Linked DNA regions of Solanum lycopersicum. The main gene of each other region encodes a partner of the protein of the gene in region 2 in a complex. Links are inferred from orthologs where the notes say so. Each region holds a gene or a part of one and is shown on either strand. Other genes may lie near its edges. The genes, in order: kinetochore protein SPC24 homolog, kinetochore protein NUF2 homolog and kinetochore protein NDC80 homolog.

What was found.
Region 1: kinetochore protein NUF2 homolog (region 2) and kinetochore protein SPC24 homolog share a complex: the UniProt entries of both Arabidopsis thaliana proteins name them as parts of the NDC80 complex. The link is inferred for Solanum lycopersicum from reciprocal best matches to the Arabidopsis thaliana genes AT1G61000 and AT3G08880.
Region 3: kinetochore protein NUF2 homolog (region 2) and kinetochore protein NDC80 homolog share a complex: the UniProt entries of both Arabidopsis thaliana proteins name them as parts of the NDC80 complex. The link is inferred for Solanum lycopersicum from reciprocal best matches to the Arabidopsis thaliana genes AT1G61000 and AT3G54630.

Annotation. Positions count from the first base shown.
Region 1 is NC_090803.1:60,966,840-60,971,141, forward strand, and holds the start of kinetochore protein SPC24 homolog, read right to left. Parts: upstream 2,953-4,302; 5' UTR 2,841-2,952; coding exon 2,663-2,840; intron 1,010-2,662; coding exon 867-1,009; intron 777-866; coding exon 676-776; intron 1-675. UniProt on the Arabidopsis thaliana protein: Acts as a component of the essential kinetochore-associated NDC80 complex, which is required for chromosome segregation and spindle checkpoint activity to ensure proper cell division. Required for the maintenance of plant architecture.
Region 2 is NC_090809.1:11,522,721-11,526,095, reverse strand, and holds part of kinetochore protein NUF2 homolog, read right to left. Parts: 5' UTR 3,266-3,375; intron 3,173-3,265; 5' UTR 3,129-3,172; coding exon 2,968-3,128; intron 2,890-2,967; coding exon 2,671-2,889; intron 2,226-2,670; coding exon 2,135-2,225; intron 2,053-2,134; coding exon 1,873-2,052; intron 871-1,872; coding exon 781-870; intron 365-780; coding exon 257-364; intron 1-256. UniProt on the Arabidopsis thaliana protein: Acts as a component of the essential kinetochore-associated NDC80 complex, which is required for chromosome segregation and spindle checkpoint activity to ensure proper cell division.
Region 3 is NC_090800.1:89,053,604-89,057,755, reverse strand, and holds the start of kinetochore protein NDC80 homolog, read left to right. Parts: upstream 1-1,247; 5' UTR 1,248-1,370; coding exon 1,371-2,494; intron 2,495-3,705; coding exon 3,706-3,952; intron 3,953-4,152. UniProt on the Arabidopsis thaliana protein: Acts as a component of the essential kinetochore-associated NDC80 complex, which is required for chromosome segregation and spindle checkpoint activity to ensure proper cell division.

The DNA.
Region 1 (4,302 bases), on a different chromosome or scaffold from region 2:
TTGAAACTTGTGGTCTTAAAAATGCCATAAAATCTGGATGGTCATAAAAGCTTTTCATTAAGGGTCAAATGGGAAGTGTAAAGTTAATTGTTTACAAATTTAGAAATGTGTTATTCTTTTCGGAACGGGCTAAAAAGAAAAGTGTATCCCATAAAGTGGGAAGGAGGGGTATGTTTGGTTGCGTCCAGACAAAGTCAAATCAGGTGTATATTCAATTTGTAGAAATACTTAGTTGGGCGATAGTTACACCTAGACATCCAAAGATGTAATGTGGTAGAACTTGGTCGCACCAGATGGGATGTTAATGGACTATCTTAACAGTGATTGGCATATGGCAGATACATTCAAATATGTGTACCATGTTGCAATATGGAACTGAGTAGGCAAATTATCCACAGAATATGATGAAAACATGTCAGACCCTCCCAACCTCTTGAGATACTTTGACAGCATAAAGTTGCAAAAGCTTAACGAGTCAACATATCAATATCTTTTTCTTTTTTGATGACCGAGAAACCTCAAGGGCCAGCAGGCACGGTTTGAACTTAGAGGATGAGGAGGAGTCAACAAATGCCACGATGGGATTGTTTCAACGAAATTTGTAGAAGTATGTTGGAAGCAAATGCCTGACATAATCATAAACATATTAAAGTACAAGAGGTTATGATTACTTACTCAGCTCGAAGATGATCTTGCTCAATTTTCTTGAGCAATTTCCTGTGCTCCTCAATAGAGTCTCTTTGGCGATCTAAATCATTGATCTCATCGGTTATAACTGTGTTTAAAAAAGGTGTCAATCAGTAAGCATAACACTAAATTATCTGAGAAATACAAATTCATGCATCTAACGTTGTTTAATATACTTATCTAAGTTCTTCTCTAAGCAGTTGTTCTCTCTGGATCTCCTGTTCTAACTCTTTCTGCAGCTTATCTATTTCAGCCTCTGCAGCAGCTTCAGATTGTGCTTCTGTTGTTCTCTGCTTACATGCATTTATCTTTCCTTGATAATCTGAGTGTATGCAATGACTTGAAATTAGTCATTTAATACTTTCAAATTCACAAATCCGAACATCTCCCAGTACAATCATAAATTAATGCTTGAACAAAGACACTTAATACCAACATAATTCCAATTTCCAACTTATTTAATAAGAAAAACAACATGTATGTCTGAGGCCAGAGAGAAATCATAGGAGCAGGGTTGGGCCCTCGAAAGGAACCAAAGTAGTGGTCTGTTGAGCTAATCATTAAACTAGACACACGTACTGGGCCTCTACATATTTTTGCATTATAATTGGCTAAAAGGACTTCAACTCGGAAACAAACTGCACCAAAAGTAGAAATATCACCAAAACTATCAGGAATAAGTAGGTAATAGCACCAATTTTTACACTATATATAGTACATTCCAAAAAAATCTCATGAGGGTTGGCGTGAGAGGATCCAGATTCCAGCAGTAGTACTCATGAAGGTATAAAAGACAGAGACAGAGACTCCACACTCCCCAAAATGTTACTAATAAAAGAAACATCCAGAAATGACGATATTTTGCAAGAAGAAATTTTGACCTGACACTCCAGTAAGCTAGCAAACAGAAAATGGTGTTTCAGGTCAACGTTAAGAGACTTATCCACTAATAATTGGTACTAAGAAAAAGAATCATCCAGATGCAAGAACATTGTAAAGTTTGTCTACATTGATTCAAAATTCCAATCTTACGCCGAGTTTTTTTTTCACTACATAGTTTTTAAGGATCCAGGAAGATCCTATTGCGTCGTGGTGACCCTGAGGTTTGAACTATGCACTGTGGTTCAACTTACAGCCTCAAGGCAGATGTCCCTTGGGTTCAATCTTTAAACTAATTAAACTAATAAGAAGTTGATTCAACCCCCATTTTTCTCTTTCATTAAAGGAATGTTACTGAATGAAACATCCAAAAAAGATATCACTAAAAAGCAAGGTTTCAAGTGTAAAGAAGTATCTATAAAGCAGAAGTGCTACGAGGAGTAAAGAAACTGCATTAAACAGCAAAGCACATTGTAAACTCAGTCTATATCAGATTAAAAGTTGCAATCTTTAAGCCAATGTTTTTTCTCTCTCACATTGTTCATAGGAAGTAGGGAAGGTCCAGTCAGGCACTACTAAGCTAGTATGAGTGACACCACCGAGATCTGCAGCTTAAATTGTAACCTCCTGACCAGTAGGTTGTCTCTTGGGATAATCCATTAGCTAAGGGAGCATTTGGCCATAAAATTCAACTTGCATTTTCAAGAATTTGAAAAACACCAAAAACTTTCTTCACTCCAAATCAATCATAAAAATTCAGAAACAACCCAGAATTTGTATTCATGGCCAAACCCAACTCCAATTTTCAAATACTCACAATTTTCATGGCCAAATGCTTCAAGTAAACACAGAAAGAGGTTCACTTAGTAACCATCCTACCATTTCCAAAACAAAAATATCAAAATTCAACAGTAAGAACATTATACACACAATTCCAAAGGTTCAATCTTGAAGCTAACTTATTCTTTATCACATAGTCTTATGACTCTGAGGATTGGGGAGATCTCCAACTGAGAAAGATTCAAACTTTAAGCCACTAAGAAATTCAACAAACCCTCAATTTTACAAAATTAAAAACGAAATACAAGAACCCCACCTTGAATGGAATTCTGAAGAGCCTGGTACTCAGATTGGCAGTGTGATTGAAGGGCATTAAATTGCTCTTTACACTGATTCAAGAAGCTGACATCTTTATCTTCTTTCAAAAACTGAACAAGATCCTTACTGAAGGAGATCAGCTTCTCTACATCCACGTTATTCGACCCATCCACCATTTTCGACCTCTCCAGACCAAAGTTTAGGGCTTTTTTCTCCCTCCGAATGTAGTAATTTGAAAAGAAGAATGATTAGCGGAGTTCACAGAAAAATAGAACTCCTCCCTCCCGTTAAATTATACTATGTACTTTGTTACGTTTATTATTTTATTAAATTATTTTAAAAAATAATTTGATAAATAATATTATCATATTTAATTTGACTAATTTTTAAAATGAAATGAAATTATATTGATTTAATAATTAAATAAATATTAAAAGTATTATAAATTGCAATATCTTACCTATCTGATGAAAAATCAGTGAAATGTGAGTTAAACATACATCTTCGTTACATTTTTAAGTCGAATTAACCTTTTAGCATAAATTTATGTTTGATTTTGATAATTTAAGTATATTTTTATTAAAATATTTTACTATACTAGATAATTGAAGGCCCGTTCACGTGCTTAATATAATTAATTATCTTTTCAATTTTAATTTAAAATTTTTATCTAAATTCATATCTTATTTTATTATATTTTTTAAAATTTTCTACCATTTAAAAAAATTACAAAAATTCTCTCAGCTACGTTCTTATCCTCTGTGTACATCAATATCTCCTCTCGGATACATCTATATTCTCTCTCGGCATCTTCATCCCCTCTTTAATATATCTCTATCCTCTCTTGGATACATCTCTCTCCTTTCAGATACACCTATATTCCCTCTCGAATACATTTCTTCTCTCTCTGATTCATCCACGAGATATGTTTCTGCAAGTTTTCTGAATAATATCGCGACCGATGTTTTTGCATTTCTGTTGATGAATATATGAACTTTTTGTAATTTAAAAAAGAGTGGAGATACAATGTAATTAACTTTTAACACTATGAAAATTTATGTGGTATATTTTTCTGTGCAGTCAATTTCAAAAGAATAACGTATCAATATATTTAATAACATTTTGACTTCAAAAATATTCATTTTATTCTTAGTAAGATGATTTAAAATCATATGAACATCTATGGCTAGTTTTAAACTACAACAAAAAGTGTTTTTTTTTAAAAAAAAGAAAATACTTCATGTTAAAGTCAAATAAACATTACATAAATCAAAATGAACTAACTGACTACAAACTTTAGATCAATTTTATATTTATGAAATTTAAGTTTTTGTAACTATTTTGCCTTTTAACAAAATTTAAAATGAAAATACTAAAGTTTTTTTCACAATTATTTTTATAGTAATTTTTTTTAACAATATTTTGTCGATAATATCAAAATTGTAATAAAACAAGATAATAAAATAACTTAACTTTTTTGAAATTCAAGTATTGATATCAATTGAGAAAACATTTATTTTAAAGTTATAAAGCATTTATAATCTAATATTTGATGCGCTCCTTGCCCTCGACGAATGACACTATCTTATCATAAGAAGTAAAATCAAAATTAAAAAGTGCAGCTCACTATTATATGAA
Region 2 (3,375 bases):
TCGCCAAACAGGTGTTTTCTTCCTGGCCACTTACTGCATTTTTTCAAAGGGGCATGTAGTGACTCAAGAGTTGCTCGTGCAAAGAGTATATCACAAAAATGAGAGGCTAGCACATCATTCCACTTTTTATAAATCTCCTGCAACTTCTCTTTTACATACTACTATGTCATTTCTCGTTTATTGAGCATAAATAAGGGTATAGATGCAATTTATGAGTTGAAAATATAGTATACAGGTTGTATTGGATGAACAGTACCTTTGTATAAACCTCAAGAATTGCTGTTTTATCTTGAAAAGACTGCATTGCTGCTCTTTCAGCATTCCTTATCTCAGCTTGAAATGATTTCTTTTCCTCCAGAGCTCTCTAAAAAATTCAATAGTCAAAAAATTAACACATAAAACGAAAAGGCTGCAGCATCTTGATGTTAGAGGAGCAAGCGCAGAAAACTTGCAATTAATTTCACAAACAGAATTTGAAATGATCTAGCTAAAAGAAAGATCTTAACTTAGAGAAAGTGGAACCACGCCTCAGAGAACAGAGGCAGATATGTCATTGGTTCATCAAAGCAAGAGAAATGTAAGAAATCCAAATTAGATACTTTAGTTACAGCATGTAAATCAGTCATATTTGCAATTATGTTCAGTATTAATATACCAGCATGCTCAATGTCATAGCACCCTTGACAAATAACAAACCACATCACTTGCACAAGATATCCAGAAGACACAGTTGATGCATACTCTTTTAAAACCAGCTCAACAGTCAGTAATAACTCATACCTGAAGCTTATCTGGTGATTGGACAATCTTAGAACGCAAATTGGCATTGTCATGAACAGCTTGTACCAATGCAAAGTCTGCATTAGAAATCTGGAAGGAGACAAAATGCAATTGGAATATTAGTTCATAACACAGATATCTAGCTTGTATTCAATAATATGCGATAAACAGTAACTGTGCCCAAGGGTGTGGCCTAGCGTTAATATAGTGGGTGAAATTCATGGAAGACCAGGGTCCAATACCAACAAAACACTAGGTGATTTCCTCCCATATGTCTAAACTTTGATAGGTAAAGTTACTCTATACTTTTATTGGTAGGAGATGGCGAGTACATGAGATATAATTGAGGTGTGCACAAGATAGCCCAAATACTACCATTACACAACAATTGCACTTAAATTCCAAGCAAGTTGACATCGGTCATATGAATCCACATTGACAATGTTGTTCTATTTATACTCATATCAAGCCAATATTTGACATTATTTAGAAGTACTCAAAGTATTCGTTGAACAGTTATCACCAACTTAACATCCAGGATATTTCAAAGAAGAATCTAAAATATTAGAGACTTATAGAGAATTGAAATAAGAGCTCTAGAATGAAAGTTCTAGAGAGGCAGGTCTACGAATATTCTAGGAAGGGCAATTCCAGAAATAAGTGGAAGGGTTTATTCTACAATGCTCAACTAAGTTTTTCCATCACCACCTATAAAAAAGGATGGTCATTTGAGATGTATGTGTGCTCAAGTAAGTCATCAAGTGAGAAGTGTGAGGAGCAAGTGAGAAATAGGAGAGCAACAAACAAAGTTGCAAGAAAGTGAGTGAAAGAAAAAAAGTAGTCCTTACTTTGTAATAATAAATTCAAGTTGTGAGCAACCAATTATGTTCAAGAATACTCAACAATTCTCTATATTTTCCACTGATGTAAATCTCTATCATACAAATCTTTTACTGGGATAAAAAGATCCCTAGACACATAGGACCCAAAGTAAGCCAACACCAAACATATGGCAGATAATCCAGTGTTAGGCTATTAGCAATTCATGAAACAAATATGACATTAAAAGGAGAAAAAAGCCAAACAGCTGACCTTTTCATCTATCTCTTTAGCCCTTTCCTTAAGTTTTCTTATTGAGGCCTTCAACGACATTTGGTGATTGTTAAGACCAGAAATTGTTTGCCTCAGTTCCTTAACATTAGAATCTATTTCTTGAACCAAAGGCATCTCCCTTTCTCTTGATTCATTTTGTACTGCAATCTCTTCATTTAACTGTGAGGTACCGTGTAAGTAACTTGAGAGAAACTTTGCGAAAGAAGCTTCCTGTAAAAATGTTTTCTACTACTTCAGATACCTGAGATATTCTAGCCTCCAGAGCTAGTCGTTGTTCATCAATGAGAGTCAGATCTTCCACAATCGGCCTTATAGCATTTAATTTAGTGTCCCTAAATTTGTCAACAACATATTAAAGAGAAAAATTGAGCAACACTTTGTTTTGGGGTGAGATGGGGTGATAATTCAGTAAAAGGATAAAAGAAAAGAACAGAAATCTCAGGCAAAAGCTAGTAAACTTCCTCATTCTAGCTATTAATTGGAAGCATTTTTTCTGCAAAGTATTTTCATTTATCAGAACAAACAGAGAAGCATATTTGCTTGCCAAACTTAGGTAAACTAGAAAGACAAAGTTTATCCATATTTTGTATCTCTTTGGAGGTTGATGAATGAGATGGTGAAGAATGATTGTTTGTAAAAGTATGCAAGATATATGGTTGCCTCAGTAAACAAAGACAGCAAGTGGTCGATTCAAAACAAACAGAGAAGCATATGTTTGCCTAAGTTAACAAAAAAAGCCCTTTGAAAACACAAAAGAAAGTAAAAAGTGAATGGGACCTGTGAAGACAAAAGTTGAGGATGGCTCCGACAAAGAAGCGGGTACGATCAGGGTCAGGCTTGATCAAATCTCTTAGAGTAAATATCTCTGGACAACCCAAAGCAGACAACATGTTCCTTATCTTATGAAACAAATTAATAGTCCGAAAAGAGTCGACATGAAGATCCGGGTTCTCAAGGTATTCCAGAGCGGAGAAATCCACCTGATCATGATCATCCCTAAAAGACAAGAGAAAGTAATTAAAAATAAAATATGATTGATTGAAACAGAGAAGTAAAGGTTGGATTATTAAATACTGTAGAGTATCGATATGGAGAAGAATGCTGGAGTAGAGTTTAGTGACAAAGTCGGGAGTGGGTTTGATGAGATCTTCGTCGGAGACAGACGCTATTTGAGCTTCCCCTAATACAGCGATGATGTCTTGTCGGGGGAGTGTTGGGTAATCAAATCTCGACATTTCACTCTTCTTTTGCGAATCACCACTTTCTGAATCGGGTTCAACTGTAGCCGACGAAATTCAATTTAAAATTCAAAAGAGAAGCTGAAATTAAATATTGGGAAATGGAAACTCAAACAAATTCATCAAACAGAAACCTCAAACAAACCACATTGAGTTTCAGAAGAGAACTCTAGTTTCGTGTAATAAGATGCATAGCAACAGTCTCTGTTGTATGATATCTCACAATTTCACAATTAACACACAG
Region 3 (4,152 bases), on a different chromosome or scaffold from region 2:
AAGTTAATCACGTTATTGGAAAGGGAGAGATCTATTAGATGATAAAGTGGCACATCATGATATATATATTTATTTATATATAGAGAGAATACGAAGTGTTATAAATAATATAAGTTTAATTGATTTATTAAAATGGAATAGAAGGAGGAAATTTTAGGTAAACTTTTTTTTCTTTGCCAACATGACCCTTCTACCTCCCTCTGTTAAACGATAATTATTTATCATAGTCTTCAGACAAATATTTAAAAGTAATAAATAATTGATGAAATTTTATCAAATTATTTTAATAATATTTCTTCCATTTCAATTAATTAAATTGATGAGATATTTCATACATTTAAGATTTTTTTTTAATATAAATTAAGCATAATTTTTTATTTTTACTCTTATTAATTATTATTAAATTTATAATTAAAATAATTAAATATTAATTAATAATTAATTTCAATATTAACTAATGAAAGGTAAAATTGGAAGAACATTATAATAATAGTTTTGAAAATTAAACAATTAAGTTAATTGTAAAATAAGAAAATGTTTTAACAATTCAATTAATTTGAAATGAAGGGAGTTCAAAATATTAAAAAAATAAAAGTAATATTTAATAATAAGAACAAAATAAATACAAAAGAATAAATTATTGATTAATTTTATAAATCAGACAAGTATCATTTAAATTAAATTAAGCAAAAGGTAACATGCAATACCTTTTTAGGTAAATAAACTACTCCTTCAACTTTGACGAAAATCAATGTTTAGTTGACAAATTTAAAGGATTGAAATTTATAGGCCTACGTAAATAGATTTTTAAATTTGGTGAGTTTTTTTCCTTAGATATCTTAACTATATCATTTTTTTATTAAATTATTGAATCATTCATAATTTGTTCTTTTAGAATATTGTTAGTTGATTTTGATCGGCTTTTTAATTGTAAATGTTTTCAATTGTGTTCGAATTGTAATAATTTTGATTGAAGAAATAAAGATAAAATCGTGTTTGTCTCATTTATTTTCTAATGTATTCAAATGACCTAAATAAAATACAATTGTTCTCGAATATTTTCATTATTAATTGAACTAATGAATTGTGAAACAACGTATGTATCCTTTATTAATATCCTTTAAAAATCTGATTTCACATCAGATATGAAAATTTTAATTATTTAATAGGAAAATAACGTAGTTGAGATATATGAGGGGTGAAAATCCAACATGATACGTCTATTTGGCCAAATTTATAAACAGCATAATTAAAAAACAATTAAACCGAAATTCTAATTGAAATGCCGCCATTACTCATTTTCCAATTTCAAAGCAGAAACACAAGTACCTTTCACTAGCCACCGAGATCAAGCAGCAGTTTACTCAACAATGAGAGGCGCCGGACGCCGTCGTACCAATTCTGCAGTGCCGGATCGCCGTCATCCACCACCGACTCCGATAAACGACCCAAGGCAATTTATCTCCACTGGCGGGCGTGATTCCGACGCAAGCTTCGCCAGTAGCCGGCCTTCATCTGCCGGTGTAAACACTCGGTCCTCCGCTATCCCCATCTCTGACCGCTCCTATCAACTCTCTGCTCTGCGTACAATCAATGCTTACCTTTCCTCCCACTCTCTCCCTTTTACTCTCAAACATCCTCTCCCTTCTGCAAAAGATATCACCGAAACCCTAAAATTCATTCTCTCTCGTTTCGGATTTTCCTTAGCAGAGTCGCATAAACTCGAAGATGATCTCCAAACCCTACTGAAATCCCTAAATTGCCCCGTGAAATTGAACAAATCTGCATTACGCGCCCCTGGGACGCCTCATTCCTGGCCTAGTCTACTTGCAGCAATTCACTGGCTTGTTCAGCTATGTAAATTTGATGATTACCGGATGAGTTCGGCTCAACCACTAGCTCCGAGTAATAAGGAATTGAGATATACTGTAGAGAGTTATTTGCATTACTTTAGGGGGAAAGATGATCAAGTAGATGAATTGGATCGCCAATTTATGCAAGAGTTGGAACAACATAAGGAGCGGTTGGTTGAGGATGTGAATGTCTTGGAGGAGAATGTGAAGGCTCAAGAGGAAAAGTTGGAAGAAATGAAGACAGGACCATCGGAAAGAGAGACGTTGGAGAAGGAGAAGAGTGCGTTGGAGGAAGATGTAAAGAAGTTTCAGGCTATCATTGAACAGTTAGAAGGGCATATAGTGAAAATGGATAAGATGGTGGAAGAGAAAGAAAAAGGGTTAGAGACTAAGGTTACAGAGAAAGAGAGCATTTGTGCAGAGAATGAGGAGTTGAAGAAGAGGGTGGAGGAACAAGGGATTAATTCCAGGGATGCAGATAGGATGAAGAGGGAGTTGCATGCTTTGGAAAGGGATATTGGGGATATTGAGAACCAGAGGATTGAATGGGAGGAGAAGGCTTGGGACCTCGACTCTGCGATTGGGAACATGTACAAGAAGCTTGAGGAGCTAATGATTGAGTGCAACCAATCTATCAGGAGGTTGTCATTCCCTCTCCTGTTATTTATGTTGTTTGAAATAAGAGTATCTTACTTTCCATTTAACAGCATGAGATTCAATATTTTTCGTAATATAAGTGTTTGTTGTTCTATGAACATGGATATATTGCATTGCTGTGCTATTTTAGTTGGACTAAAGCTATAAGAATATGGCTACTAAGATAAGATTGGAAGGACATTATATTGTTTTCCCTCAATTGATTGTTTCTATCAACATTCACTTAAGTTTAAATGGCCGTTACAACATGATACTGTTAGATTGCTTCTATAATGGGTTCTCGGCAGATAATTTAGGTGACAGATTAATGGGAATGCAATTTGCTGAAAGTTATATGTAAACTGACTTTATATCTGTGCTTCTCAGAGTTTAATTGATTCACTAACTTCCAAAAACATGCCTTTCTTTCTCTAATGGGTAGTGAATTGTTAGCTACGGTGATATATGAGAATCACAATTTAGCCCATTGTTGTAGTGCTGCTCCTCTAAACTTTGACTTGAGATATGAATGAGGAACACTATACTAGTCACAAGGCAATAATGCTAAGATTCTCATCATACCTTTTAGTTATAGATTCTTGAATTTAGTTTTTCCAATCACTCCGGTTAGAAACTAAGGCTGCAGCATGCCTCCATTTTTTAAAGAACAATTGATCCTTCAATGTTGTAGTCTCTGCATTAATTAGATGTATCTTGCCTGACTGGGTGCTATGTTGGAATTGAGTTCTGTATTTCCAGCTATATGACGGTCCTTCATGAAGAATATTTTTTATTCTATATTCATGTTTTTATTGTTGGATTATGCGGCAATTGATGATACACTTTTTGAATTTGGCCAAAGCATGGACGAAAACACCCAAATGCCACTCGGGAAAAAAGATTTTGTGGGAGTGTCTCTATGCAACAATCATTTCTCAGATTTCTGTGCCTTCTTGTTGCTGCTTGAAAAGTTCTTTTCTTTTCCATAGCTTATCAGATTGAACTGTTGGAGCAAATTTTCTACAATTTGATGATTTAGATCATAACTTGGGAGGGGTTAAGATTGTAAGTTTGAAACTAGATCAGTCAAAGTGAGATGGAGCAAGTATATTTTTGTATGTTTTCTGTGGTTTGCGGTGGAACTTTCCTTCTACTTGTTGCTCGTCATCATTTCCTTAATTACTCTGACAACAAACAGCCTCATTTGAAATTTCAGGTTAAAGCTTGGAAATGAATTTCAGTATCAATTGAATCCCCAAGGGTCCTCACCAGCAGAGGTATTAGGTATAAATTACAAAAAAACATTAAAGCCCACTCTTGCATCCTTTGAAGATGAGATGAAAAAGAGTTCCATGGGGAAAATGGAAGAGTTGATATATCTCCAGCAACAGTCATCTGAGAAGGCTATGAAATTAGAGTCAAAGAGGAATCGTCTGGCTACTCTTCAGGCTCACATTGATGATGTAAGTTTAGCCAGCATCCTTTCCCACTATAGAATTGGACACTGGTCCTCTCTCTCTCTCTCACACACACACACGATATTTAATTTTGTATAATATATAACATTTTATCGGAAGTGAATCTGATGACATAATAAGTGGCATTCTATCTTCTAGTGGAGATGCTCTCAGAGTCAGAGGTACCTGCACTATTTGGAAATCAA